4 linked regions of the Oreochromis niloticus genome follow. The protein of the gene in region 1 purifies or fractionates together with the protein of each later gene. This does not show direct contact. Links are inferred from orthologs where the notes say so. Each region holds a gene or a part of one and is shown in the gene's direction. Other genes may lie near its edges.

The links.
Region 2: the proteins of lin37 (region 1) and rbl1 purify together in Homo sapiens (affinity purification with mass spectrometry; 3 studies listed by BioGRID and IntAct, with this or other methods). This does not show direct contact. The link is inferred for Oreochromis niloticus from reciprocal best matches to the Homo sapiens genes LIN37 and RBL1.
Region 3: the proteins of lin37 (region 1) and lin54 purify together in Homo sapiens (affinity purification with mass spectrometry; 4 studies listed by BioGRID and IntAct, counting the BioPlex papers as one, with this or other methods). This does not show direct contact. The link is inferred for Oreochromis niloticus from reciprocal best matches to the Homo sapiens genes LIN37 and LIN54.
Region 4: the proteins of lin37 (region 1) and mybl2b purify together in Homo sapiens (affinity purification with mass spectrometry; 6 studies listed by BioGRID and IntAct, counting the BioPlex papers as one, with this or other methods). This does not show direct contact. The link is inferred for Oreochromis niloticus from reciprocal best matches to the Homo sapiens genes LIN37 and MYBL2.

The regions. Positions count from the first base shown.
Region 1 is NC_031976.2:17,552,547-17,560,225, reverse strand, and holds the start of lin37 (protein lin-37 homolog), read left to right. Parts: upstream 1-4,663; 5' UTR 4,664-5,032; coding exon 5,033-5,066; intron 5,067-5,288; coding exon 5,289-5,364; intron 5,365-5,448; coding exon 5,449-5,502; intron 5,503-5,645; coding exon 5,646-5,675; intron 5,676-5,950; coding exon 5,951-6,036; intron 6,037-6,174; coding exon 6,175-6,335; intron 6,336-7,587; coding exon 7,588-7,679. Other genes in the region: proser3 (proline and serine-rich protein 3), read right to left, coding at 150-201, 375-456, 563-734, 1,122-1,266, 1,369-1,871, 1,948-2,177, 2,275-2,408, 2,483-2,568 and 5 more.
Region 2 is NC_031970.2:5,192,298-5,199,214, forward strand, and holds the start of rbl1 (retinoblastoma-like protein 1), read left to right. Parts: upstream 1-3,905; 5' UTR 3,906-4,059; coding exon 4,060-4,221; intron 4,222-6,047; coding exon 6,048-6,181; intron 6,182-6,542; coding exon 6,543-6,746; intron 6,747-6,917. Other genes in the region: si:dkey-222f2.1 (keratin, type II cytoskeletal 8), read left to right, coding at 199-245, 2,294-2,412. UniProt on the Homo sapiens protein: Key regulator of entry into cell division. Directly involved in heterochromatin formation by maintaining overall chromatin structure and, in particular, that of constitutive heterochromatin by stabilizing histone methylation.
Region 3 is NC_031972.2:11,870,370-11,877,989, reverse strand, and holds the start of lin54 (protein lin-54 homolog), read left to right. Parts: upstream 1-4,618; 5' UTR 4,619-4,752; intron 4,753-4,823; exon of another isoform or gene 4,824-6,014; intron 6,015-6,059; exon of another isoform or gene 6,060-6,214; intron 6,215-6,722; 5' UTR 6,723-6,751; coding exon 6,752-7,495; intron 7,496-7,620. Other genes in the region: cops4 (COP9 signalosome complex subunit 4), read right to left, coding at 1,120-1,193. UniProt on the Homo sapiens protein: Component of the DREAM complex, a multiprotein complex that can both act as a transcription activator or repressor depending on the context. In G0 phase, the complex binds to more than 800 promoters and is required for repression of E2F target genes.
Region 4 is NC_031970.2:33,717,035-33,724,991, reverse strand, and holds the start of mybl2b (v-myb avian myeloblastosis viral oncogene homolog-like 2b), read left to right. Parts: upstream 1-4,941; 5' UTR 4,942-5,414; coding exon 5,415-5,434; intron 5,435-5,867; coding exon 5,868-5,964; intron 5,965-6,106; coding exon 6,107-6,178; intron 6,179-6,262; coding exon 6,263-6,355; intron 6,356-6,451; coding exon 6,452-6,672; intron 6,673-7,198; coding exon 7,199-7,331; intron 7,332-7,426; coding exon 7,427-7,486; intron 7,487-7,597; coding exon 7,598-7,795; intron 7,796-7,957. Other genes in the region: ift52 (intraflagellar transport protein 52 homolog), read left to right, coding at 1-15, 166-295, 392-467, 621-692, 775-901, 991-1,074, 1,214-1,282, 1,408-1,562 and 4 more. UniProt on the Homo sapiens protein: Transcription factor involved in the regulation of cell survival, proliferation, and differentiation. Transactivates the expression of the CLU gene.

The DNA.
Region 1 (7,679 bases):
ACATGCACAGTGTTGTGAATAATAATCCACCGAGACACATCTCCAACCTTTATTGTAGAAAAATGTCCTCAAAAATATAAATTAACTTTATTTCTTTATAAAATAAAAAATAAATAAATGTGACTACAAAAACTGTCTCTTGATGTTCTTCAAGTAACTTGTTGCTCTTCCACGAATTCATTTAAGATGGAGTCCACCTCACTAACAAAACAACAACAACAACAACAAAAAATCATTCTTTTTCTGGCAATCGACTCTGTTAACATGACTGTCAACCGATTCAAAGAGATTTTAAGAATAAATTAATGCTAGAAATATACACAGGAAAGGATTCTAATCATTACAGTAATGGTGATAATCTAATTCCGTTTTACCTGATCTGCTCCTTCACCCATTTTCTCTGTTTGCGAAGAACTTGTAGCAAAGGATCATCTCCAAACTCTTTTTCATCCGAATCTAAAACAAAAAGTTTAATCTGAGTGAGAGGACAGATACTAAAAGCATCTATTTATGCAGCTGTTTACGGGCTAAAGACTGGTGCCTTTTGCCACCATAAGCTTACCTTCGGCCTCTTGGAAAAGCTGTGAAATGACTTCCATAGAGTTCAGTGCATTGCTTGGAGGAATTGGCGATGGTGAAGGTGCAGCGACGGTGAAGGAAGGAGAATCAGATGAAACAGGAATCCTTTTCGGAGAAGAGGAATCCACCGTAGGAAACAGTACCTCTGAAACTACCTGTTAAGGTCAAATGAAAACACCCAAGTTAATGCATATTAATTACCTTGATCACATTGAACCTTATGACCAGTTTGGCATCCAAAAAATATGTGCAGACATGCATAGTGAAGGTAGACCTGTAATTATATTCAATAAAAACTTGTGTGTATTTTATTTAAATATTTAATATATACAGTCTCCTAAAGACCAGATCTGTCAATGGCCTTTACAAATGATTAATTAAGATCTGTAAACAATCATAGATTGCCAAAGTCTGAGAACAAACACACAGCTTTCAGTTTATCAAATATACTGCAGAGAAAAAACCCCCCCAGAAAGCCCAAATATGGACACAGCCTCTGTGGCTTCAAATAAAGAAATAAAATTGCACATTTGCATGTTTACCTGTCCTAATGCATTGTGGATAGGGGATGGTGGTGGTTCGTGATCACCAGCACAGCTTTCACTGGGAAGCTCCTGTCTTCTCTCTGGTTGCTGCTGCTCTTTACATGATGTGACCTTTTTGGGAAGCTTTTGATGTAATGAATTCCTGTTTGTGAAGCATAAATCCCACAAAATGTTAACGGTATATATCAAACACATATTTTTATCACCAAGACTTTTAAACAGTGCCCATGTTTCAATAATTCACCTTGCTGATTTCTTATGCTGTCTGGCGAGCACTGCTTCCTCCTTCCCATTTACCTCTGATTGCTTCGTCCCCGTTTTCTTTTTCTTGTTCTTCTCAGACATTTTTTGGTGATCAGGCCACTCTCTCTCAGATGGCGTGGGTGGAGTGAGTGACATGCGTTCACAAAGAGTTAATTCTCCAAGGCTTTCAGGGACTTGGGTCTTTTTGTGAAGAACTTTGGTTTGTGACTCGTCTAACCTTTGTGAAATGCTCTGGTGCACTTTGGCATGAGATGACTGGATGGGACATGGCAAGACGTCACAGAGAAAATGCATGTGGGAAGGAACGTGGGCAATGCTCTGCGGCTGAGGGACTGAACCAGAAACATTGATGGTGGGGAATAGTGAAGGACCTGGAGCTGGGGGACAGAACCTCTGGGCCTCTGTGGTTTCTGGCTGGGCAGCAGTGATGTGTGAATGAGTATCTCTTTGTGAGAATTGAGGAGGTTGGGTACCCTGCTGTTCCTGAAGAGCAAATTAATGTTATTCTGTAAATTTGTGCAAAGAATATGGATAATGTAACAAACAGTTTGATTCCAACCTTGTAAGCTTGTTCACTAATGGAGGGATAGCTTAACCTCGTTGCCTGCCAACTAAATGCATGAGGACTGGAGGCTTGCACAGACAGGGGCCTCTCTCTGGCTTGCTCCATTTTCCTCCTTAAACGCCACTGGAACAATATGTCTTCCTCTGGACGGGTAGGAGGCACCAAAGAAGGCATGACAGATTTTTGGAAGGACACACCATGAGCTGAGTCTGAGCTGGCCTTTGCTGTAAATGTTAACACACTGTTTAAAACACAGCAGCACGCAAAATAGAATCTGTCTATAAATAACAAAAGGTATTCTAGTCCACACTCTTTCCCTACCAGTAGTATTTTTGAATAAACTGGGAATCAAAGGTTGCTTCACTGGCTCATCTATACTGATGGGATAGGAGAAATCTGAGCATCCCAGCCCCTCTGAGCTGACAGGGACAGATCCATCACTCACAGAACATTCACTGTTAGAAAAAAAAAAAAAAAGTTAATACAACTCAAGCCATTTATCTTTAATATTGCTCAACGGTCTTCATACCCCCTCAGAAGAAGTCTGCTGGCCTTTTCTTGAAGGTGCAGGATCTCCCTGTCATCAAATTCACCCTGGGATGTGTCGGACAAAAGCTGGGAAACAAAAAACACGTTTTTTCATATAAAGACTTGCAATACTGTGTAAATAAATCCTCCCAAATAAATAAATAAATAAAAGGATTTTAATTAAAAGGGTGATGCATTTGTTCTTAGCAGGCTGAACAACGTGTCAAATCTGGTTGCATAAACGGCGACTTCCCAGGCATTTAATAAACACATAGACCTCCAAATGGAGTGTGGTGCTGAAATGGAAATGTTTATATGCAAACTTAGTCGGAATAAAGTGTTGCTTCTGCAAACAATCAGAATCCCAGGCACTTTGGACATGCGTGGTGTAAATCAAGGGACAATGTAAACCCCATAATCCACTGTGACATCATACACAAACAATAAAAACTGAATAATTGGTGGTGCCTTTTCCCCCTATCTTATGGATCTGTTATTTTTTCAAGAAACAGAAGCACATTTGCTATAAAAAAATTGATAAATTATGGCTTATTTCTTCTTAGCTTATAAATACAACTTACACTATTGGATCCTCTGTAGGGAGAAAGGGATCTGTTACGGTCACGCTGTGCAGATGGATCATAAAGAGCAGGATCCTGGTCCTCTTTCAGAAGTTGGATAACATCTTTTCAGAGAAATGAAGTACACAGAAAGATTTGATAGAATTAAGCAGCTGGTAATGGGGAATAAAATACACCAATGACTGTAAATAAAGTGTACCTTCGTCTGTTGTTTTAGTTGGTGTTGAACTGCTGGGTGATGAATGTGACATCCACCAAAAAGGAGCCTGCTCTTCTCCACTGGCAGAAGCCACCTGATGGCGCTCCTCTCGACTCTGTGGGCGACCATGGCGAAAACGCTCTACGTATCTGGCAAAGCAAAGGTCAGATTTGGTTACAAGAAGTCACGTGCAAAATGAAATAAAAATAATCAGGGTCACTATGACATTGTCATATTTAATCATGAAAAATTGTCCCGTTGTCATTTTGAAACTATTTTTTTAGTTCTGTTTAAGAAAATTACATAAGGCATTAAGACATACTTTGCCAGCACAGAATCCTCCTGGCCTCCTTGAACTTGGGAAACACTGGATTTCCCCATTTTTCCAGACTGTTTGGGTTCGTCCATGTCAGATGAGGCAGTATTTCTATCAGGAGAGAATCCAACGACAGTGGAGGCCTGGGACTCTTTAAGAACAGGTTGTCCATCAATGGAGGAAAAACGGTCATGCTTCTTAGACAGCTGCTGGCTCTCTCGGTTTAGATTATGTAACTTTGTTCTGGATCGCTGGTTTAAACGTACAGGACTTAGTGTCTGCAAGAAGAACAGAAAAGGGATATATATATATCACAATGAGAATCTGTTTTTCTTGCAGTATATTAAGTGTTTTTGACAATAAAACATACAGTTTTTTTCTCTTTCTTTGAGAGGGGTTGTTTGCTGGATGGGTGGTAGTGTGCCGTCCTCACTTTGGGTGCTGCTGGGAAGGGATTCTGCTTTGTGAACACAGGTCCACTGTAAGAAGAACACATATTACTAACTATAACTTCTTCTGTTTAGGGTGCTACAAAATGTGTCATTAGATCCTCACCTGGAATTCATAGCAACCTTTGGAGGTGACCGATGAGACATCAACGACCACAAGAAAGCACACACAGTCCTTGTTTCAACGTGGGCTTGGTTTACCTCGTGCACCCCAAATCATATCAGGACTGACGTGTTAATCTGAGTGGGTTACTTAGCTAACAAAAAGACGATGGCCCCATTACTAAACTCTTCCGAGTTTACTTGTCTACACACAAAGTTACTTCAAATGCCAGAAATTCCCTTTCAGAATATAAATTACGCTTCTCCGTTAGGCTCTATGAACATCTATTTATCATTCCAATTTAACGTTCTGACTAAAAACATAGTAACTTCGCGTTTATTTTACAAACCCAGTACATTCTCGATGAAAGTGGAAGAGAGCTTTTGTTGTGTATGCCGAACGTTATTTACTACACGACATACAGCCAATAGGGAACGAATTAAAAATGATTGATATAACATTTGACCAATCATATAGGCGGCCCTGTTTGCACAGGCACCAATCAGCTAATAGGAAATTGGCAGCGCGCGGAAGAGGAAAGTCTAGTAAGGTTATGCGTTTGTCAAAAATAAGCTAAGTTAGCAACAGTAGTTTGGCCATTACCCTGCAAAGCTTGGTATAAATCATAAACGACTGCTGTGCTGTATCTTTCTATTAACTATATGGAAGTCGATAGGGATAAATGTTATTTGCTTAATGGTTTGAATAGCGTTATATAGCTTAACTGTTAACCAGTGGTTACAGCTAACTGGTTGTAAACGGTACCCACAGCTAGCTTGGCTAACGGCGCCGTTAGCAAGGAATCAAACATAATTTATTGTAAATCTAAAGAACCGAAACAGCAACCGTGTGGTTTTACAAGTCCGTCAGTTCCCACGGGGTGTCTATAGAAAGGCGGACACAATGCAACACGTCAAGATCAAGACTGAAAGGCCAGGTAACAGCAGCTCTCAATATTTCCTGAAGCCTTGTGTTTTCAGCTTTTCCAAATTTTGTGTGGTACAAATTCTTGTTTTGGATTGTTTTGGAGTACATTCGCCTGTAAGTTTGAGTGGTTCGGATTATACAGGATTCTTAAAAGCTAAGTAATACAGGGGGCGAGTGTCACCCAAAGTGAGTATTGTTGTTGTCATTAATTATTTCGTTATTACTTCTGCAGACTTAGACGGGGCTGGTGCGCGCAGCAAATTAGATGCTGTCTTAAAGGGACTGGTAGAGAAGAGCGAAAATGAAAGGTTAGCAAAATTAATTGTTGTGCATATAATTATTATAGAATCGAGTTATTCTTAATAACAAAACTAATATAAACATGTTTTCAGCAGGGAACAAAATGAAGGTGATCCGGGAAAATTGTCAGCCGACTCTTTGAACAAGTATGGACCAGTGATTTTGGTTTTATTTAGTTTTTAATGATCTGTTAATAGAATATTTTACAATTGGGTGCGCTGATTCAATGATTTTACTTCAACATTTATTTTTTAATTGCAATTTATGCATATTCCACCATTCTCTTTAGGGATTTATCACCGACATCTGCTGGAAAAAGGCAAGTATTTATGTTTTAGTTAAACTTGACTTGTCAGTAACTTTTTTGTAATTACTAAGTAAGTAAAATTTTATTTATATAGCACCTTCCAATACAAAGATCACAAAGTGCTTCACAAAGAAATACCAAGGCATTTAAAACAGGGCATATTTAGACTTTTTTATCATTTTGTCTGGAAATAAAAAATATAATTTTACTTGAATTGTATGAGAAATTAGTTTGAATCTCTTTTAAGCTCCAAAAATTTATTACTTTAAAAAATCTATTTGTTGCAGACCGTCGGCTCGATTTCCACAGCACCGGAGAAAGAAGCGAAAAGAGATGGATGAGAGCATTCCAGAAAGCAATCAGCATAAACAAAGTAAATTAATGAAAATAATGAAAAATGATTGGAATTTGTCTTTGATGTGCCTTGGTTACTGTGTAACCATCTTGTCTGTTGCACTTGTGACCATTTTCTTACCTTTAATTTATTTTTCTCTTGTTCTCCTTTTAATAGATGCCTACGTTATCAAGTTGTTTGACCGCAGTGTGGATCTGGCTCAGTTCAACACCGCCACCCCACTGTATCCTATCTGCCGTGCATGGATGAGGAATAATCCTTCCGTTCGAGAACCAGCTGCTTCCCCCAGCTCCCCACAGAGCATGGTAGAGGAAGAGGTAGGATCATAAATGGATTAGATGCTGGAGATTTTATTCAAATGTACAACCAACAAATGTACAAAAAAACACAGAGGCACATTGATTTAAAGTTATACTTCACTCATGCATCTACAGTAAGTTAAAATGAGGTCTTTTACATTTTGCTAATGTGGAACTTTGCAGGGTAGAGTGTAAGGGCCCTTTCACATAGGATGTGGGACGCGCAGCCCTGCGCTCTGAAACCCGTTCATTTCTATTGCTTGCGCCACACAATAACGTTGTACTGCTGTGCCAACCAAAGCGCTGAGCAAAGCACAGCCCAAGCGTGCCAGCGAGGAGTACTCGTGCATGCACTGCGTGTTGTGACTTACCTTCACGTGACCAATAGAAACAATGCCTACAGCTGCTCTAAGTTTAACCAAATGATTAAGGAAAACATTCTGTGTGTATCTGAGTTTGATGAACTTTTTGACACAGGTTTATGTGCATATATAGGGATCTCCAGAGCCTTTGAGTAAGTCTTTCATTTCAGCGACTTTGGGGACCTCAAGAGAAAAGCAGTGTTGAGGAAATGACACACTCTTGACTAGTAGGATAGTTACAGGTTTCTTCTTTATGAATGAACAATACATTTAAAAAAAAATTTAATTAAACATCTTGCAGACGATATGATTCAGAGACATACATGTTTTTTAATGTAAAGGAGCAGACGCATCTAGTATATGTAGAGCGGCCGCAAAAAATGACGCACAAGCAGAGCGGCCAGTGCAACACAAATTTGGGGTCCTTCGCTCTAATTAGCGGTTAGCGCAGGTCATGCCCCATCTCATGTTAAAGGGCCTTAACTCTTTTGCAATCTCATAATTTGATCATTTCCTGATTCAATCAATTGTTGTTTCACAAGGTCTAATGTAATTAATTAAATGTAATTAAATTAATTGTTAATTTCATTGCAGTACACTGTGTGCCAAACTATTGTCTTCTTTTGTTTGCCTAAGTGCAAATGTAACTGACTGTTACATTTGCATGTTTTAATCAAGGTTATCTGAATAAGATATAATGAAACTGTTTTTAATGGATGATCCCTACAGTGACGATATTTTTGAGTTGTTTGTTTGTGAGGTGCACTATCTGATTGTGTACTCGTACTTTTGTTTTAGTAAGTGCCCCCCAAAAACAAAATGGCATGTTATGGCATCACTAAGTATTGTTGTTGGAAATAAGCGTTTAGCAGTAATCTTTTTTTTTTTTTTTTTTTTTTTCTCCCTAGGTTACGGACACAATCAACGGTAAAGGTCAGAATGTGTACCGACTTCCTCCTCCGACTGCCTGTCCAGTCAACTCCTCTGGTGAACCCATCAA
Region 2 (6,917 bases), on another chromosome or scaffold:
TAGAGACATCAGTGAGAACTACACCAGACTGAAATGAAACAGAATTTGGGTAATGTTAGGGTAGAGTGCCCTCTACAGGTGGGAATGTGACACCACATGGTTACAGCCCAGGATGGAACAGAAGAGTTAAAGAGTCCACAAAAGTGAAATATAAATAACCTCTTTTTCTTTTCTTTTTTTCCTCTTTTGCCTCTGCAGACTTGGACAACAGTCTATCCTCAACATCCAGCCCATCTCCAACTACAGTAAGTGTCAAATACTAAGGCAGATTAGTGTATGAATATGAATGTGTCATGGCTACTGGACGGACTCACGCGCAGACAGTTCTTTCTTTGAGAACAAAAGGAGATTATTTATTTACAACAGGGATCACCTCAGTGCTATATATATGTACAGTGAGTTGGGAGAGGGGGGGTCCAGGGCTCTGGGGAGAGAAGGGGGGGGATCCACACACGCTTCCTCTTCCACACAGTCACCGCCACAGCTCCTCCGCACACACGCACTCCTCTTCAGCCGCACTTGCTCCGAAACTCCACACATGCTGCCACACCCGGGCAGGTCCCATGATTTGGTCCAGAAGAGGGATATCTACACACAGAATTCAACGTTAGTTCCACAGCAAAATTCACATAGAGGATTCTTTTGATAATGCCGAGAGCACGAACTCAGGAGGTTCAACGTTCCAGCGGTGAGCTGCTCTGTGCCACTGCCTTAAATAGCAGCTGGGGAAATCAGCCAGATCAGCAGCAGGTGGAGACAATCACAGGTGCGTGGGCCAAGAGCGAGAGCCCGTAACGAGCTCCACCCAGGCAGAGAGGAGGAGGAGAGACAAAGAAAACAAAAACAAAAAACAACAACAAAACCTGTAGCCAGCGTGAGCCAGCCAGAGAGACACGGGGACCGTGACAGAATGTTTTTATATGACTAAACCCTTGATGCTCAGGGGCCCGTTCTTCGTACCTCGCTTACTACATCCAAGATCAAATGACACATCCAAGATCAAATCATCGCGCTAACTTTGAGCTCGCTAATCCGGTTCTCCGAACACACCTGTTGTTGACGATCAGTATAGCTGGATGAAGTAATGCGAGATCACTGGGTGTCTCAAAAGGGGCTACGCATCGATAGTAGAAACATTGATCGGCAACCCTGTGATTGGTCGGCGAAGATGTCGAAGGCGCGCGCTCAGTATTTTACGGCAGCAGAGCAAGAACTCTTGACTGAGGGATATCAGGAGTTTCAGAGTTTAATTAAAACGCAAGGGAACACTGCAAAGGCTGCAAAAGCAAGGAGAGAGGGCTGGCAGAAAGTTGCTGACAAATTAAACTCGTAAATAATTTATTATATCATATTCCATTATATCCTCTTTCACATTAGAGCCACAACAGGACCCACTAGAACATGGGGACAAGTAAAAGTGAAATATAAGAATATTCTACAGAATGGTAATATTTATCACTTATATTGCTTTTAGTCTCTTGAAAAGAGACCCTGAAATAATCTGTTTGTTTGTTCATAACAGCAACCAAGAAAAGGGCAGAGCAAATAAAGACAGGTGGTGGTCCTGCACCCCCTCGTGTGTGTGTGTGTGTGTGTGTATGTGTATGACAGGACGGATCCTGTCAATCCCGCAATATACGCTGAATTCTGGAAACTCTCCTTATCAATCTTGCACCTTCCGCAATGGGTTGCTCGCGTACAAACGGACAGGACATGACTGCGACAGACTTCCCAAATCCACCTTCGCTTTTATAGCCGTGGTCTCTCATCTTGATTACACGAAGTAATTTACTATTACTACTCTAAAATACGAATTACATCTGAAATAATCAAATACGTGTAATAGAATGATTACTAGTACATTTCCCTTTTTCTTAGGAAATGACCTGTATGTATCTGTATGCAATCAATAAAAGAATCAAATACTGCATTATCTTTAGTTACATTGATAATATTTATTTATGGAGAAACAGTGGTGAAATATCGCTGTTGCTTTCGTGTACATGCAGCGGACATACCTGAGTGGCCGCGATCTAATCCTGTTTACATAAAGTAAACCTGCTCCCGAGCAGGTTTACGCTTACGGATCTGTTGCTATGACAGCAAGTCCCAGATGAGCTTCGGAGAACCGAACGATCCAAGATCACGCGAAATCGTCAACAATCAAATCCGGCTAACTTACATAGCGAGGTACGAAGAACGGGCCCCTGGACTGAGAGGTTACATTAATAACGACAGAGAATTTGTATTTTGTGAAATTTTGTCTTACACATCTTCCTGTATTTTTCTTCAGGTTTCTCTTCAAGTACTAAAAGCACTAATGGCTACCAAAGTGCCTCCAGCTCTCCTGCCCCGAAGCTGCTGATAAAGACAATTGAGACCAGAGATAACAGCAGATACAGCATTCACTGAGAGCACACTCACTGGTCCGCTGTGATTTTCTAAAAGCTGTCTCTAAATGTGTGAGGGGCTCCACGGGGCATTTCATTACTTTACTTAGAATAATGGAAACATAAATGATGTAAATGACAAAACCGAGTGGGAGTAGTCCTGGGGTTTGTTGTTAGTTCCTAATACTGTTAAGGATTTTAATGTGTTTCGTTTAGTGTGCTGAGTAGTCTAGCTTTAATCATATGGGGTTTTGATACACACTGTGGTAGAGTGCTGTGTTATTTACTGTCTAATCTGTACTGAGATTACACGGTCATACGACTATTGGAGTTTAGAGTTTAGGATAGCTGGTTATAAAGAGATTTTTTATGCTACTATAAAGAACATTAACTTTCTTTAGCTACAGAAGTAGTTTAGTTTGAGGGGGCTAAGTTACTTTTTAGTTGCTTTCAAAAATAAAGTGATCATAAACAAAAATGTTCTTGATTTTTTATTCTTTCCTGTTTCTGAAACTTCTGTAAAAGCAAAAAAATCCAAAGTATAAAAAACTCCATGCTAATCATACGTCACATTTGAATTATTTATATTGATGTCTCTGTCGCGTTGCTACACTCAGACTCAGCATTTCAGAGGACCCACTAAAATGTGCTATTTTTATACAGTCAGCCCCATGTTCCCCTTTTTTAATGTGATTAAGCATCACTGTTACAAAAGACCAAACAATATTACAGCATGAGCATGCACCAGCAGTTAAAATTAATATACCCAGAGTTAACAGTATACAGTATCTGAACATACCAGAGGCCCTGCTGAGGTTAGAGGTTTGTCCCATGGCAATGTAAAACAAACAACTAAATACCTTTCAATCCATCCATGCATCCATCCAACCACCAAGCTTCATCCAGTTTAGGGTCGCTACTTCTGGAAGTTAAAAGTTTGATTCAAAGTTCTAGAAGGAAGTTCTGCCACAATACGCATTTTAAACACACCTGTAGACGTTACTATTTTATTACTATGTAAATTGAATTTAATATAAATGTTTAATATAAATATAAATTAAAAATGCATGGTTAGAATCACAAAAAAGCCACCCATAAGTCAAAATTTCCGGTTATTACAAGTGCTACCTTTTTTTCTGTTTTACAATCTTTCCAGTATTTTAAATTTAGGATCCTTTCAGTCCTCTACATTAAACTTCCGGGGGCGGGGAAAGGAACGCATTCGTAGGCCATCTTAAAATTGACACAGTTAACAGTTAATAAAAACGTTTTCTATTTTCTATTCCGTATAGCTTTGCTCGTGTTCAATTAAATACCAATAATCAAAATTTAAAATAAATTAATAGAACATGTTTTCGGTCGCGCGCTTCGAACGTGGTTGCCTGGTAACAGCTGAAAGCAAAGAGCCAGAGCGTCGGCTGAGCACGAGCTTTCAGCTTGTGGCAGGGGGTTGGGCGAACAGCTCGGGACCGACGCTCCCCTCGCCTCTTATTGGTCCGGGTCGTGAAGTTTTCGCGCCAACGCGCTGCATTGTGGGGGACTGATAACGGAAGTTGTTGTGTCCTGAACAAGTTGGGGGGCTGTGTTATTTGGCAGTGGGAAAGAGGGGCGCTGTGTTTTGTTTTTTAGATTTGAACTCAGGTTGAAATTACACCTGTCGCTGGTGCGGATGCGGGGCGAAGAGTCTTCAGATTCGGAGTCGAGCAGGATGGAGGAGAGCTCGGTGCGGAGGAGTTTGGAGACGTTGTGTCAGGAGCTGAACATGGACGAACAGACGGCCACAGAAGCCATGGACAACTTTACTGCCATATGGAATACATATACTCTGGAGGTGAATAATGTCCTCTAAATAGTCAGTAGCTGTTTAACGAGTCAGACTCCTGCTAAGCTCATTACTGTAGATTAATTTTCATGCGTAGTGAATGCTTCACCAGGACACGAACACAGCAGTTAAAGGGCTCTGTTTTTACTTTCCACGCTGGAGTTGCACCGGTTAGTCGATCGCCACTGTGTATCAACTAATCATATTGCCAGTAAAATGATCGTGCTGATTTATTCTTGTGTCAGAGTCACCCCTGGTTTCGGCCTCTCCAATACAAAAATACTTAATGTCCAAGTGAAGCGTTAATGTTACAGCAGGTATCAGCTGGATTAAGCTAAATATATACAATAAAATAAACTAAAAATAGATTAGAGACTAAAGACAGCGTATATAGATTTATTTGGGATTTATTTTGTTGAGCTGTTGTTGTCATATGTTGTTTATTGTTTGGGTTACTGTGATGGCGTGAGTTTCTGATAAAGTAGACACTAGAGTAATCATAATATTTTATTTATTGAATGTAACTACTGTCCAGAACCACAGTCTTTGTTCACATCAGGGTTTGGACTGAATAACAAAAAGGGGGAAAACGTATTGTTACCCCAGACCTTGGTCATGATTTTTTTTTTCATAAACATACATACATAAAGACGCTTGACTTAAATTATATCAAGCCTGTTTTTGTATACTAGTGTGGGTGGGTGAAGCTGTGCAGTAATTTAAAGAGTGCTTGCGGTATAGGGATCCACTACTGATGAAATTTTTAGGTCAGTACTGATGTTTGAAATATCAGTCTGGCCAATAGATGACATTAGTAGTTTTTCTTCTGTAGTTAGTTTTGTGTTGTTATTTCGTCCTCCTTTCAATTAAATAAATGGTCATTGTAAAAAAAAAATAAAAAAAAAAAAACCTCTTAAACTCATATCTTTATTTGAATAGGGCTGATTTCAATGAATAAATATTTTTTTATTCACTTAAATGCATAAAATTCATGGCAACGTTGTTTATTGAAAATTAAAATGAAAAACAATAAATGGGAATTATTTGAAACCATGAGTCATGCAAAGATAGATAACCTACTCTGTTTAACTACTCCATGCTCTTAAACTTTGTTTTATTATTGTGTTCATTTCCTGTTTTTATGCTTGTCTTATTTGTTCTGTAAACTGTCCTCGAGTGTTTTGAAAGGCACTTTTAAATAAAATGTATTATCAATATTGTCATTATTGTTATTATTATTATTATTTAAGCTTAAGTAGAATCCAAAAATAAAAACATGGATAAAAGCAGGAAAGGTTTCTTTTAAAAAAAACACAGACACACGCTTATAAGTATAATGTTGATTCCTAATTTACATTTACGAAGCTGTGACAGCAAAATGTTTTCTGATCAGTTTGATGTTTCTTGACTAAAAAGATGAATATGGTAAATGGCCTGTATTTGTATAGCGCTTTACTAGTCCCTAAGGACCCCAAAGCGCTTTACACATCCAGTCATCCACCCATTCACACACACATTCACACACTGGTGATGGCAAGCTACATGTAGCCACAGCCACCCTGGGGCGCACTGACAGAGGCGAGGCTGCCGAACACTGGCGCCACCAGGCCCTCTGGCCACCACCAGTAGGCAACGGGTGAAGTGTCTTGCCCAAGGACACAACAACTGAGACTGTCCAAGCCAGGGCTTGAACCGGCAACCTTCCGATTACAAGGCGAACTCCCAACTTTTTGAATATGATTGTGCATCATGCAGCTGCATGATGCACAAAGCTTTATGTTTATGTTATGTATCGAAGACAAATGTGTAAATGTTGTGTTGCTGTTTCTCTGCAGGGAGATGTTGTACACTGGCTGGCATGTTCACTGTATGCAGCCTGCAGGAAGGGGTCCACTCCCACAGTGGGCAAAGGGCTGATGGAAGGAAACTGTGTCTCACTGACCAGGATTCTTCGCTCCTCGAAACTCAGGTGAATCTCTGTCAGCTCTGCGGGACCTGACTGTGCAGTTTAAGAAAAATGTAGCAACTGATAAAGCAATAAAAACATCAGTGTGCCGAATAAATTATGAGGTGGTAACTTACCTGGTTTTAGATGACTGATGGTGAAGAAAAGACTCAGATTCAGTGTCTTCTTTACAGATAACACAGAAAGTGAAATAATTTTCTGTATTATCTGTAGAAAAATTTGACCATAAACAATGAATGTTTACAAACTGAAATCCTTTAAAAAGTGTGTTACAAAATTTCCAGTTACAGTTTTAATGGGAGCCTATCCTCCATTGTTTTGTGTTTGAACATGTACACTTCTGCTTGTTCTGTCCCTTCCTCAGTCTGATCCAGTTCTTCTCCAAGATGAGGAAGTGGGCCGACATGTCCAAGCTCTCACAGGACTTCAGGCTCCGAATGGAGCGCCTGGAACGCAACTTTGAGGTCTCCACGGTGATTTTCCGCAAGTTTGAACCCATCTTCATGGACATGTTTCAAAATCCGCAGGGAACCGACCCGCCACGGCAACCACGCAGCAGGAAGCACAGGTAACACTAACACACACAGAGCTGCTTGTCTAACCCTTGGTTAACATTCTTGTAAAGTTCTATATCTAAAGTATTAAGATCTACTTTGAAAGTGTTTGCTTTAAATCCCTTTGATGCTGGACTTTGTAGTGCAAATTATATTAAAGTACATTCAATTTTCAACACTGCTTA
Region 3 (7,620 bases), on another chromosome or scaffold:
TAGCAAAATGTACAAACTGAGAAGTATGGACTTATTTTGTGAGAGGAAATTTTGAATTTATTATTTTGAAATGAGTACCAAAAAAAGTACCAAAATCGAAGGAAAAGTACCCAATCCATTCGGTAAATATCATTTCATAAATAAATCTGTAATCAACATGTCACTAAAGTGCTCTGAACATAACAGAACTATGCACATAAACACCAGTTCACATATAATTACAGCAATGAGTCTGTGGTCCCTTACTTAAGAGAAGTCGATGCATTTGATTGTGACTTCTGTGAAAAACAAGTGTATTTAAGCTTGAGTGAATTAAACCCCCCTTTAATAAACAGCTATTTAAATATTTCCATTTTAATTAACCATTAGCATATACTGTGGATAAAAATACAGTAAACACTTTCTTCTTATACAAACACGTATACAACAGGACCTAAAAGATACCTTTTAAATAGATTTATCACCTTTTGGACAATACTGACGAAAACTGAAATTGCAAAAGTAGACTTTACAGCACAGTTGTACTTGGATTGCATAGGTGTTCCTAATAAAGATGTTGTTTATAGGATGGTAAGAACGTACGCAAAGGGTGTCCTGGCAGTTTTCTAGTCAAGTATCACTTTGTTCAAACTGTATTTAAGCTATATTTAAGCTATTTTAAATTTGTTTATGTCTTATGCTTTTATGATTGTGTAAACTCCTTGCTTTTATGTTGCTTTTTACTCTACTGTGTACAGTGACCTTGAGTGTTTTGAAAGGCGCTTTCAAATAAAATGTATTATCATTATTATTATTATTATTACCTTGTGCTCTGCACCAAATGTGCAGCTAAAGAGCAGCAAGTTAGCTAGTTAGCTTGGATGATAAAATATACAGTTCTCATAATTATTTTACCAACAATTAATGTGGGTAGTCACTCCTTTTATGTTCCTTGCACTTTGGATAAAACCTAAAAGCAAACATTGACAGACTGATTGCGTTTCTATCTGGTTTATCTGGATGTATGGCTAATGCAGCTAACGTTAGCTTAGCTTTGTGCAGACCAGTATCTAGCTGCTAGCTAGCAGTTTCTGTTGCAGTTTTTAACGAGTGATGTTCTCCCTAACTAACGTTACATACTTGGCAGCAAGATCTTTATGAGATCCACTTGAGTTCATCAGTTGTGTAAGCTCCTGCCTCACTTCGGTCGCCATTGTAGCCTGTGTCGAAGTGTCAACACCGGTTTCCTCTGCCAAGACAGGGGAGAGCCTTCCGTCTGCAGTCAGAGCGCAGAGCTCAGCCAGGAAGTGACGCAGCCAGCCATGGGAGCGGAAGAGGGAAAAGAATGATTATAATTATTTTAGGCCAGGCTTAAATGTTGATCTATTGTATTACTTTTTTATTGTCTGAATTTTAAGTGATAATATATGTTTTTAAACAAAACTTGGTGAGTATTATAAACTATCCATCCCTTTCCTGAAAATAATCATAGCTATATTTGGTTACATTTTTTCTGGTAATTTTGTGTTTTAACCTAAAAAAGGGTCAATCTATTTTTAACACTAGTATCATCTGAAATATGAGGGGCTTTCTTGTGTTTGCGCAATAAAATATCCTGTCTCACAGACATGCTGAACAACTACATTCTGTATTTAATGCCTCTAGGCTGGGCTGTTGTAAAGCATTATTATCAGGTTGTTCTAAAAGCTCCCTGAAAAGCCTTCAATTGATCCAGAATGCTACAGTAACAGTACTGACGGGGACTAGCAAGGCTTTTTCTCGTTCACTGGCTCCCTGTTAAATCCAGAATCCCATTTAAATTCTACACCTCACATACAAGGTCTTGAATAATCAGGCCCTGTCTTATCTTAAAGATCTCATAATACCATATCACCCTAACAAAGCATTTCACACTCGAGTTACTGGCTTACTTGTGTTTCCTAGAGCATTTATAAGTAAAATGGAAGGCAGAGCCTTCAGCTTTCAGGCCCCTCTTCTGAGAAACCAGCTACCAGATTGCATTCAGGAGACAGACACCCTCTCTACTTTTATGAATAACTTTTCTTCTTCACTTACTTCTTACTTTCTGTGTGTTTATACAGCACTTTACATATAATCATTAGTTACAGCTAATCTCTAGTAGACTTCCACAGCGTGTCTTTTGCCTTGTCTTTCTCTCTGCTCTCTTCTCTTCCCCACACTCCAAACCAGTTGCAGTGGATGGCTGCCCCTGTACCCTCTGGCACATTCTTCCTGGTAAAAAAGAGTTTTTCCTTTCCACTGTTTCCAAGTGTTTGTTCTTGGGGATTCATTTGACTGTATGGGTTTTCTTTTTATTACTTTTTAAATGCTATGTAAATAAAATTGAATTGAGCTGACATTTTTGTCAAACCAGTCAAAAGTTTGTTTGTTTGTTTGTTTGTTTGTTTAAGTAAAATACAACTAAAATATATAGCCTAACTAAATAATGTTGGATAATAGTAATAGTAATAAAATACATATGACACCAGAGGTCAAGTTATATACAAGTGGTATCAGTTAAAAACTAAATATCTATAATCAACATCAGTCAAAAAGTATATAAGTATTACGCAAAATACATAAAGACATGCCTGATGTATCGACTTTTGTACAAGAAAAAGTCAGCACCATAAGAGCTCATTGACTATCAACTGGACCTCATGTCACTTATGATGAATCTCCAAAAGTTGAATCTGTTCATCTGGACGTAGTGTTTTGTGGGAGAAACGTTTCGTCACTCATCCAAGTGACTTCTTCAGTCTCAGCTGACTGCAGGTTTCCCCAAACCTTATAAACAGTACATTTGCATAATGACTGAAACCAGCCCACTGAAGGAACAATGGGCTGTGAGGTCAGTACCTTAATCATATCACGTACTACATTTCACAGATCACATTAACTCGGTGGACCGGCACATCAAATTCACCAGGGAGGATATGAAAAGTGGCAGGTTAGCCTTCTTAGACTGTGAGATTTCCATCAGTAATGGGGGACATCTAAAGGCTGACGTGTACTGTAAACCTACACATACGGATCAGTATCTAAGGTCTGACTCTCATCATCCACTGGAGCACAAACTGGGTGTCATCAGGACGCTACAAGACAGAGCGAACACCATCCCCACAGACACAGCGGCCAGGGAGGCAGAAGAACAGCACATCAAGAAGGCCCTGAGTAAATGTGGTTATCCCAGCTGGACTTTTGTCAAAGCGGGAAAGGCACCTAAAGAAAGCTCCAGCTGATCCAGGAGAGAAGGACAACTGCTGCCCAAGCGAAAACCTGTAGTGATCCCATATGTGTCAGGAGTATCGGAACAGTTGAGACGCATTTTTTCTAAACACCGGGTCTCTGTGGCTTTTAAACCCCAAAACACGCTGCGCCAAAAACTGGTCCACCCCAAGGATCAGGTCCCCCGACACAAACAGAGTAACATACTGTACGCTGTTAAGTGCCAGGAGGATTGTCAGGATTTATACATCGGGGAAACCAAACAACCTCTAGCGAAGCGGATGGCACAACACAGAAGAGCAACCTCATCAGGCCAGGACTCTGCAGTCTATTTACACCTACAGGCCAGTGGACACTCTTTCAATGATGAGGATGTACACATCCTGGACAGGGAGGAATGCTGGTTTGAGCGCGGAGTCAAGGAGGCCATTTACGTGAAGAGGGAAAGACCATCTCTGAATCGAGGAGGGGGCCTGAGGGTACATCTTTCGCCATCTTACAACGCTGTGATTGCAGCCATTCCCCAACTCAAAGTGAATGGTACTCATGGCCATTGATCAGTGTTCTTTGATCAGTGGGTTTTGGTCAGTGATTGTTGATCAATGGTCATGGGAATTTGCATAATTATGATTAAGGAACTGACCTCACAGCCCATTGTTCCTTCAGTGGGCTGGTTTCAGTCATTATGCAAATGTACTGTTTATTAGGTTTGGGGAAACCTGCAGTCAGCTGAGACTGAAGAAGTTACTTGGATGAGTGACGAAACGTTTCTCCCACAAAACGCTACGTCCAGATGATCAGATTCAACTTTTCGAGATTTACTTTCCTGGATGATTGAGAATGCATCAAGACTTATGATGAATGTACTGAAGAGACTACGCTGGCCTGCCTAAGACCTCAGGCGAAAACATCTCTTGACACTCTGTAGTATGCAAGCAGGTCGAATCTGGGAGTGAATCATGGCGTAATCTCCATGCTGAAGACAGTTTACTCCCATCTAGGCAGTAACAACTGCAGGGTGAAGTTTATCTTCTCTGATTTTCTGAAGTGCATTTCATGTGTTTTGCCACTGTTACTGTAAGAGAAACTACGGGACATGTAAGTAAACATGTCCACCACCTTATTATTTACTGACTACCTGACAGTGGTACGTGAGACTGGGCACTTAGTGAGGCTGCTGGGTAGTGCTCTGTCAGATTTTGGTAATGTCCAGCACACGAGCTCCAAGGCTGACTGTGTTGTTTGTTTTTTATAAACTAATAAAAGTTTTTATTTTCCCAAAAAAAACTATAAAAAAGAAGAAGAAGAAGAAGAAGCATTAAATAGTTTTGTAGAAACAGTCCTAACGTTGATAAAGCAATTGTGCTGTAGCTTTAAGTGTTACGTCAGTGTTTCGTATCGCGTGGAGGGCGTGGCCGGCCTGTGAAATGTCAGGGAGGAATGGCGCTCGGCGCGGTATTTTGAACAATCGTCTTTTCCTTTCCTCCCTTTATCTGGAAACGCTGCTTAGCTTAAAAATTTGGGGTAAGCATGACTATGCGTTGGCCCTTTCTAGGATTTAACACACTATATTCAACATAAAGACTCACACTAAAGAATGTATTCAATGTTGAGATATAATGTTGTGCTAGCTAGCTCGGGTTAGCAAGCTCAGCAAGTTTGCTAGTACAGTTGTCCTGCCCGCTGGGCTGTCTAGATGAGACTGCTGTTGCTGTCTTTGCTGCTGATGGTGATAATGATAACAATAACGATAACGATGTTTAAAGATAGACTCCGGTGAAAAAGCAGTATAATATTCCCAGGACTTGGTTCGGCAGAGTATTTTCAGCGCTTAAGGAAAGTTTCTCGTGCACAAAACAGGGACTTGGTGTAAATATCATGTGAGCCGGCCGCTAAGTTTACTTACTGCAACGGCAAATGAAAAGTAAAAGCTAAGTTAGCTGCACATCGAGTTTCATTTGACATACTGGCGAAACGTCTAAAGGATCATAGATATTTTTATATGTATGTAAAATATTAGAAGGCACAAGTCAGCAGTTCCATTTGCTGTTAGTTGTTTTCATATTACTTTAGCTGTTGACCCCGTAACATTCTTGGAATTTACGCTTTTCTGGTTCATTCTCAGACTATAACTCAGTCAAAATATGACTTTCTTGAGGTTAAACTAAAACATCATTTTGAACTGGTTAGGCCACGCTAACTCCAGCCCTAAAACACAGACTGTAAATGCTCTTAAGGAGATCTATAGTAGCAATCGCAATAATTGCATTGTGGAATTAAAATGTTGTATTTCCTCCTATGTCAAGTGACAGGAGAAATTAGTGAAAGCTAGCATTGTTTACGTTGTCAGAGTCTGCAGAGTTTTGTTGTTGTTGTTGTTTTTTGTTGTTTTTTTACTCGCCAGCAGCACCCTGTTAACATCAAGTCTTATCTTCAGCGATTGTTTAGTAATGCTTGTTTTGCAGTGAACTGTCAGTGTAAGTGTCTCTGCTTATTACCAATATTTATAAACGCTTCCCCTCAGCATAGCTTAGCGTTAGCCGGGCAGCTAACTAAGCTGATGACGAGGTAAAAATGGCGGATCTTTCGAAATCCAACCCCGGCCTGAAATAGTAACGCAGCCAACAAAACAGCTTGTCGCTTTTTTTCCTCGCTCTTTGCCCCAGTCAGGACCACTTCTGGGCATTTTTAAAATAAACGAGTGCAACTCAGCACAGTTTTCTTTTGATGGCTTTCATCTGGGGACGTGAAGAGATTCAGCTCAGTCAGCTCTGCGTGTGAATGTGGTATGGAGTGGGTAGGGTTCATATGTGCGTTTCGGTGGATTAATGTTGAGTAGAGTGCAGCAGGACAAAGATACGGCAGAGATGATCGTTGCGGCCTAGCATCAGCTGTCTGCTTCAGTCAAAATCAGCACAAGTCAAACGTTACTCATGCCCACCTCTTTATTTATTACACCTCACGTAATTACTGAAGTGATTTACAGGTAAAGTTATGACAATCTGGCACTTCTACTGCACCAACATGGCTAGCTCGCTAGCTTGAACTATCTTGCTCTATATTCTCAGCACAGCTTTTAGCTGTCTGTCTGTATTATAATCCAGTTATGTATATTGTATAAATGAGTAGAGGAATACATTTTTAAATGAATTGCAAACACTGTTGACTGCAATTAAATGCAACAGCTCTCTAAAATGATGAATGTATATCCTCAGAATTTTAAAATTGTATTATCTTTGTCTGTCTCTCCCTGTTCATGGTGCATCTAGTGCAGTAAATGTAAGCTTCTAGGTCTTTCAAATAATATAAAAGTGATCAAATACAACAGAAAACCCTCCTGCCTAATAGCCAATAAAACAGATTTGACCTGCTGGAGTTTGAACATGTGTGCCTGTATTATAAGTTAAGCTGACAGTGGTGTTAATGTTGTGGCTTACTGGTGTTTTTGATGTATTTTGCAATGACAATTAAAGTTAATTGTATTGTTCTTTCAGGATTAACAGAAAGCTGAGAGTTTGCAAGCATGGATGTAGTGTCACCAGAGCTCAACAGCCTCCTCCCTGATGAGATCATGGATACTGAGGATATAGAGGATGTTCCTCACTCTCAACCTGGCACCACTGGAGTCCACTCAGAGCCCAGTGATGATGCATCGGTCCCAATGGAAACTGATACACCCATGGCTTCAGAGAACGTGAGCCTCTGTTCAGACGCCGCTTTAACCGAACCCACTCAGGCTATGACCACCTCCACAGCCACAGACTCCATGCTTAGTGCCAGCCCCAGAAGTCCGCCTCCTGTCTCAAATTCCAGCACATCGTCTCCTCTTCTTACTATCAAACCAGGCTTGGCTACTTCGACAGCCACAACCAAAACCACAGACAGTGTTACTGGAACTAGTGTGACTACAAGTGGATTACAGAAGCTCACAACTCCATTTACAATCTCTCCTGCAAATCGCCAGATTATTCTCAATAAGGTGGCCTCTCAAGCCTCAGAAGCAGCAAAGTCTGCAGGTAATCCACCTCAGGTCATCAAGCAGGATGGACAGAAACTTTTGGTTACAGCTATAGGAAAATCAGGGCAGCCTATAGTGCTTCAGTTACCCCACACAGGCAGCAAGCCTGGTGTTTCACAGACTGCCGGGGACACCAAGTCTCAAGCTCCGCAGTTTAAAGTGGTGACTATAGGTGGGAGGTCAGACCTGAAGCCAGTGGTGGGCAACCAGGTGACCACATTACAGACCCAGCAGCTGAAGACTGTCCAGGTAACAATGACCTTTTGTATTATTAATACATTTTTACAAAAATATTGCTTGTCATGTTCCACATGTTACTGTTAAATTAAATATATTTACTACTGTAAATGATTGCGTCAATATCAATTGAACAT
Region 4 (7,957 bases), on another chromosome or scaffold:
TTCACAGCGTCAGAGGTGATATATGGGCGAAAAGATGATATTTGCCGGCTAATTTCCAAGCAGTCTAAAATTCTACAAGGCTTAGGGCCACCCAAAATATTTAAGCTTCTTTCATTTGTTCAACCGCAAACACATTTTCACAGTAGTTATTTCCTTTTATTTCAGATGGAGGCGCTGAAAGTCTACCTGGATGGAGGAGGGAATATCTTGGTCATGCTCGGTGAAGGAGGAGAAATGAAGTATGACACAAACATCAATTTCCTCCTGGAGGACTTCGGAGTAATGGTCAACAATGGTGTGCATTGAAACCTTGTTGGAAAAACAACTATGCAAACATTGCCCATGCTGTTTTTAAAATGCTTTGTATTCGTTTTCATCTTGTTCATCCAAGATGCTGTGGTGAGGAATGTGTACTACAAATACTTCCATCCTAAGGAGGCGCTTGTGTCGAATGGTGTACTGAACAGGTTCACCAGTGTTTTTCTCTTTTTATGTATATTTCACAGAGTCCCAGGTTGTTCTAGCCTAAATTTATGATGGCATAATCTAACACTTATCTAATTTCATCTGTATGCTGATAAATGCCAAACTATCAATTCAGTTGCCTGTTTCCTGTGCAGGGAGATCAGTCGTGCTGCTGGAAAAGTGGTCACGGGAATCATTGAAGATGAAAATGTTGGAAACAATGCACAGTGAGTCTCAATTTTGTACACCTCCATCTTCTGCATTAAAGAGAAAGACTTCAAATTTGAGTTGTTGTCTTTCTTTGTGCAGGGCGCTCACATTTGTGTACCCGTACGGTGCCACACTGACCGTGGTGAAGCCGGCCGTGGCTGTTCTTTCAACGGGCTCCGTCTGCTTTCCCCTCAACAGGCCTGTCCTGGCTTTCTATCAGGGCAAGGTCAGAGGCACAGTGTAGTGACAACTTTCTTTTCCTAACCATATGGTCAGAAATGTGGTAACATGGAGATTACTTTTTTTTAAATGTAGAATTCTGGCAAACTGGCTGTCTTGGGTTCCTGCCACATGTTCAGTGATCAATACATAGACAAAGAGGAGAACAATAAAATCATGGTAAGTCCACTTTTTTGTGTAATTTATTAGGTAAAGGTAGAAGCATGATCCTTCTAGAATAAAGCTCCTTTAAATGAGTATTTCAATAGTAGTTTTTTTTATTGGCTGCCGTGGCATACAACTTTTTCTTTTATCACAGGACGTTGTGCTTCAGTGGCTCATGACCGATAACATTCAGCTGAATCAGATTGATGCCGAAGACCCAGAGGTGAGGAAGAGGAGTGTGCATGGCAAAATGGCTTTCCTAATTGTTCTCTCTCTCTTTCTTTTTCTTTTTTTTTTAAATGAGCCAAGGTTCTTCTTTTCTTCTTGTCCTTTTTTTTTGTCCCCCAGATCACAGATTACACAATGCTGCCAGACACTGGCTGTTTGTCTGAACAGCTCAGAGTGTGCTTACAAGAAGGAGACGAAAACCCACGGGACTTCACCTCTCTCTTTGATATGTCTTTGTTCAATCTGTCGACTGACACCTTACCCCAAGTCATCAGGTGAGAAATTGGTCACCCTCCCCTGAGTCCAATCGCTGTTGTTTCCCTTCGAAGCTAAAAACAGATCTTTGGTTTGCAGTGCTTACAAGCAGCTTAATGTGAAAGCTGAGCCACTGCAGCTGATTGCACCGCAGTTTGAAACTCCTCTGCCTCAGCTTCAGCCTGCTGTGAGTTTTTTTTTTTTTTTTTTTTTTTCTGGGGGTTTTCTGTTCAAAGGATTTCACGTCAATGTAACTGAAAACTTAAGACAACATTTTTGCTTAAAGTCCCACAAGTTTGAAGCCAAAAGTAGGTGCTGTCCTGTCTTTCAGGTCTTTCCACCTGCCTTAAATGATTTGCCACCACCCATGCTGGACCTGTTCGATCTAGACGAAACATTCTCGTCGGAGAAAGTGCGACTGGCACAGCTCACCAATAAGTGTAAGTTCAGGATTGCTAATGGAGCATTCACACATGCACTGCAGCCCTCTAGATATCTATTGATGGAGGCGTATGTGAGGACTTACATGTCCAGGGCAGTCAGATTCCACATTAAACTGACTTTCATTTGCTACTTATGTGTGAGAAGCTAGGTGGTTATTTTCACAGCAGTTCAGTAGCCATCCTTTATCTCATATAGGTTGATCGGGTGTCCCTCTTTACGTGGGACTGCACAGCAGTTTCATCTCTTGTATCACATATTTTGACTTAACCTATGTCTTATCTTTTAATTTGACCTAGTTTTAAAAGTCGAAATATATATGTAAGACAGGACACTTCAAAAGTCAGCCAATTCCTCCGGGTTTGTTATCTTTAGTGCCATGTGGCAACACGATGCAGAGCAGCTACCTAAACTCTACTCCCACAGTGTCCTCCCCTCACCCCATCTAATCGTGGCAGATGGCTACCCCTCCCTGAGCCTGGTTCTGTTGGCTTCTTCCTGTTAAAAGGGAGTTTTTCCTTGCCGCTGTCACCAGTTGCTTGCTCATAGGGAGTCATCTGATTGTTGGGTTTTTCTGTCTATTATTGTAGGGTATTTACAATAAAATATAGGCGACTGTGAATTGGCGCTATATAAATAAAATTGAATCGATTTATTGAATGACTGAAGAATGCTGTCATGGTTCTCCTGCAGGTTAGCATGTCATGATATTTTTCTGTTTACACTACTTAAAGTTTAAATTCACAAATCACCAAAAGTGAATGAAATGTTCGTGGAATATGAATAAAAGTACTACAAATAACAGGAAATGCAGCATGTTTTTTTTTGTTTTTTTAAACAAGTCTAAAAAGGCCTGTTGATACCTGCCGTCAGTTGGGATGCTACTTTCAATCCTCCCGCTACAGATATTTACATGTTAAATGTTTGCTCATGAGTCTCCTTTAAATCTGATCACCCTAGTCCCACCTATTGTACACTCTACCCAGACATCTCCCTTAAACTAAGTTTATTTCTGAACTTGCCTGTTTTGAAGCAGATAGTTAATCGTACTCATCCTGTTATTAAATGGGTTGTGTTCACAGGTACAGACGATGACCTTGAATTCTACGTCCGGAAATGTGGTGAAATTCTCGGAGTGACTCCTAAGTTGGATAAAGAGCAGAGGGATGCCAAGCACATCTTGGAACACATTTTCTTCCAGGTTGTAGAGTTCAAGAAACTAAATCAGGTGAGTGTGTTCATAACTACATCTGCTTGCATCTAAAGGCTTTGTCCAAAAATGACTTTCCTCACTTTTGGCAGGAACACGATATGGATCCTGAGGCCCGGTTCACTCCGCTGTGATTGGATTCAAGAAATCTGAACATTCAATACGTCCCTTTTGAAATTAGCACAGTTTGAGCTTATGAGCACAGTTACAATGGAGGGACTGTGGTAACCACACTTTTCAGAACATGTACAGCTACATTTTATAACTTTGTATTGTCTTTCATTGTAAGAATATACCAGAGCAAATAAAGTTCTATACCCTTTATTTAACAGTGCTTTGAAAATATTTTTGTAGTTAAAACATTGATGTGATTATTAAAAAGGCAAACTGTTCTGCATCAGTCCTCACATGGATCCTTTAAAACAGAACATGATGTCAAACTATGGATTGGGGGGGGGGGTGTTAACTTGGACATAGTGGGTGCAGAGGCTGGGAGTGCACATCACACTTGACATCTAACATTTTTCCCTTGTAAAGTGTTAATTTTAGCCACATCAGGGTGAAACATCAGCTAGTGACTCTTGTTGTGAGGGTTTTGGACTCCACGTTTGCTCCAGAGTGCAGGACTCCACGTAGAATCTAGGGCTATTGCTCTCCGACTTGATCACAGACACGTCCCATGACATTTGTGAGGCGGTGAGATCGCTGTATGACTGATCAAAACAAGCTGCCTGCTTTGGCTTCTGAAGGAGCATGTGGGGAGTGGAGGACTTCCCCTGTAACGGGACGGCCAGGTAGCAGCCATCAGCTTCGTGAGTGTTCATGGTGTTCACTGAAAACCCTGGACAGGGAGAGGCGGTGTCAGAGGACAGGCAGAGAGAGGCTCCAATAGACGGCTTGGTGTCCAATCCATCAGCTGTTGTGTCATTCGACACCCTCGATGTGGACAGTTGTTCCAGTGACAGTACAGACAGCAGACTCTGTTCCCCATAAAACTTCCTGTCAAGCTCTGATGGAGATGAGCACTCAAAGCTTTTCATATCTAGAAGGTAAAACATGTTAGACAGAATTCAGAAACAAATCACCTGATGAGGCAAATCAACACGTCTAATTCAGTCTAGTTTTCTTACCTTTGACCACAAACACTTTCTCCATGTTTGATCAGGGCTGCCTCCCTCCTCCAGCTGGCTTTTAAGCTGTTGGAGCTGCTTGCTAATTGACCCAGCTGCAGGTCATCAGTGGGAGCAGGAGGCGGACCTGTCAGCCCTGTACAGATTCAGGCCCTGTAATTTACTTGTGGTTTATTGAGCGCTAATCTGTTAGGTTATATATAAGGCTGTAATTTTAACAAGATCACTAAACCTTTTAAAAACTATTTATTTGTATGCTGTTTAAAAAAAAAAAAAAATTTTAGCATTAAAAATATAATTTTTATTAAAGAGCTTACACATACTGGTGGACTAACCACTACAGAAACATTAAAAATACTTTTTGAATACCAGTACTATCAATTTAAGGCAGCTGGTGCATAAACCTTACACCGGGTGGTGGTCTAATAAGCACTGTATTGTTTAAAAGCTGTTCGCAAACATACTATAGATTTTCTGGGAAGGAAAATGGTAGAAAGTATATTTAGTTAAAGGTGTAAACATGAAAAAACAAACAAAAAATAAATTAAAATGACTTTATAAGTAAACACTTTTATGTGAAAGTGTCTGAAATTTTGTAGTAGAAAAATCGTGTTTTTTCAAACTAAATTTCATTACTGTTTTATTATGTAACAATATCTAAACTTCCCCTCTCAGCAATTGGGTGTTTACAGTGTTTGACTGAGACACACCAATGACTGCAGAAAACATTATTTTACGATAATAAAACAAAATTTACAGCGCTGGGACAAACCCAAAAAAGTTCCACCGGAAGCTTTCTCTGTGGCTACGCGCAGCTCCAATGCGCAGCTACGTCACTATCCGGTTCCTACGACAGAGAAGAGCGCGAGATAGAAATCCAAGAGCGCGGACAACTCTGGCGCTCCGCACCAGCTGGTTGTATAGGCTGTAACATTAGAACAGTGCCGAGCCTCCATCACCAACACTGGCTACAGCATAAAGACATTAATCACGGGTATTACGACGACATAATACCAAGTACGTATGCACATGACGTGCAACGGCCGCCGGAGAAATCGCTTTCGGACCGTAAACAACAGAAATAGAGGGAAATGTCCCGGTGGCCGCGCGGGTAAGATGTTAATCGTTATTACCTAAATTAGCTGTGTGTGTGTTTTTTAACACTGGGGGTTGACGTGAGTATTTAACTTATTCTTTTTAATACAGTCAATTGGAAACTGAAGTCTTCACTGTTTGACCTAACCCTGCTATCCCTGGGAGCTCGCTTGTGTCTGGCCGCCCTTTTTCCGGACACGGAAAACAGGCTTTGGGTTAAACTTAAGGCCAAACACGGTTTCTCTTAGATCACACTAGATAAATAAATCACTGCTCAGCACAGACATTATTGGCAAACTGTGTTATTTCTGCGAGCGAACTGTTATCCGCCAAGTTGGCTAGAAAAATAAGAACGATAATCTAGCTGTCTTCCGGACATCACCAGGGCCGGTCAGTAGTGAGTTGTCTGTCAGCTATGTTCGTCCACATCACAGTTGTTTGTTTCTCAGTGAGGATGGAGAGGAGGCCATGCATCAGGACACTGATTCTGATGTGGCAGAGCAGAGGGATGGAGGGAAAGTGAAGGTGAAATGGACTCAAGAGGAGGTATTTGTTTATTTTTATTTTTTTAATATATATAATGTAAACCAGACTGCTTCATTTAAACATTGAAGTAAACAGATAATTTAAATGGCTCTAGAGGAGGACAGGGATCATAAGAAATGCTCATTTTTTGGTGTGTATACAGGATGACAAGCTTAAAACGCTGGTTCAAAAACTGGGACCAAATGACTGGAAAACCATAGCCAGCTACATACCTGTGAGTCTGAGCATCTTTTCTGTAAGAATGTATGTCAACAGAAATCTTTTTCAGTATTTTGAGTTTGCTTTTTTGTTTTTTTAGAATCATACTGAACATCAGTGTCAGCATCGCTGGTTTAAAGTCTTGGACCCAGAATTAGTGAAAGGCCCCTGGACTAAAGAGGAAGATGAGAAGGTAGGTAGTTCAGAGGTGTGAATGGAGTAAATATGTTGTGAATAAAAGCATGCTGGTGATCTTTTTTTTTTTTAACTTTTCTTTTTTGTCCTCTAGGTTATAGAGCTTGTGAATCTTTATGGCAACAAACAGTGGGCGCTGGTAGCCAAGCACCTGAAAGGCAGACTGGGGAAGCAGTGCAGAGAGCGCTGGCACAACCACCTCAATCCCAGCGTTAAGAAGTCTTCGTGGACGGCTGAGGAGGACCTCATCATCTATAAGGCTCACTGCCTGCTTGGCAATCGCTGGGCTGAGATCGCAAAACTGCTCCCTGGAAGGCAAGTAGCTACTCTGCCAGAAACAGAATTGGGCTGATGTGAGCTTTTACATGCAAACTCCTGCTCTTTTCTGAAGTGAATTCTTAAATTTTTAACTTAGAAAAGTTTGATACGTTGCCGTGCTTGTCAGATACTTTGTAACAACTGATGAACAATTTAATCAGCTGCCTATCCGGTGGGTCACTTGTCCTGCAATGGACTCCTACATCACAGTCTTAAACTTAAACAGTAGTTCTCGTTCTGTTCTCAACCACGAGGAACTTGTTCCAGCTAGACTGAGCCTGTAGGTCACAGCAGATCTTCGCAGCAGAGTATTGTCTACTGTTGTTTGCTGGAATCCTTTCATCCACAGGACGTGAGACACACTTAAGAGGTAGTGTAATTACATTGTTGGATGTCTCAGGAGAAGGGCCAGGTTTTAACAATAAGTCAACTCTCAAAATAAGTGCGAGGATTACTTTGTGTTGCCAAATGAAGTCAGTATGTGGGGAAACACTGCAATTCACGTCCTGATATATATTGACAGGACGGACAATGCAGTGAAGAATCACTGGAATTCGACCATCAAACGGAAGTTAGAGATGGGCTTCTACTCCGGGGAGGTCTTCAGGCCCAATGAGCTGGAGGAGCTGTGGGCTCGTGTTAGCAAGGATGGTCAGGTGGGCTGTGTTTCCATGATGTCCTCCTCTATGATACAAGATACAAAAGATATGTATGGTAAGATACAGAAATTGGGTTTTTTCTCATTACACAGATGCCCAGTTGCTCTCAAGACAGTTCAGACAAGGACTCGGAGCAGAAGATCCCTCCTTCAGTAAGTGACTGTTCAGATTCATTTAAAAAAAAAAAAATAATAACACCGTTACCTTAAGTATCAGAAACTAGTCTATACTAGTGTTGTTATAGAATCTTCTTTTTCCAATAGCTGCAGGAAACAGCTAAAGCTGGCCCCAGCAAAGCTGGGCTGTCAAAGTCTGTTCCCTCTCCAAGCAACAGTCTGAGCCCCAAGAGTGAGGTGGACAGCACAGGAGGACTGAACAGCACTAGCTGGGTGGTGGACAGCTCCGGATTCCTGTCTCCCACTGGCCCAGCTCTGAAGGAAGTGTTAGACATGGTGGATGGGGTAAATATCCACAATACCACAGGGTTATTTTAAAAAACTGTCCCGGTTTTATATTGTGTATAATGTATTCTGTATACTGTTTGTTCTGCATCTGTTCAGTCTTGGCTATTTCACAGTTGTGGCTACATGCTGACCTAACAAATAAATGTCTCTTCTGCACTA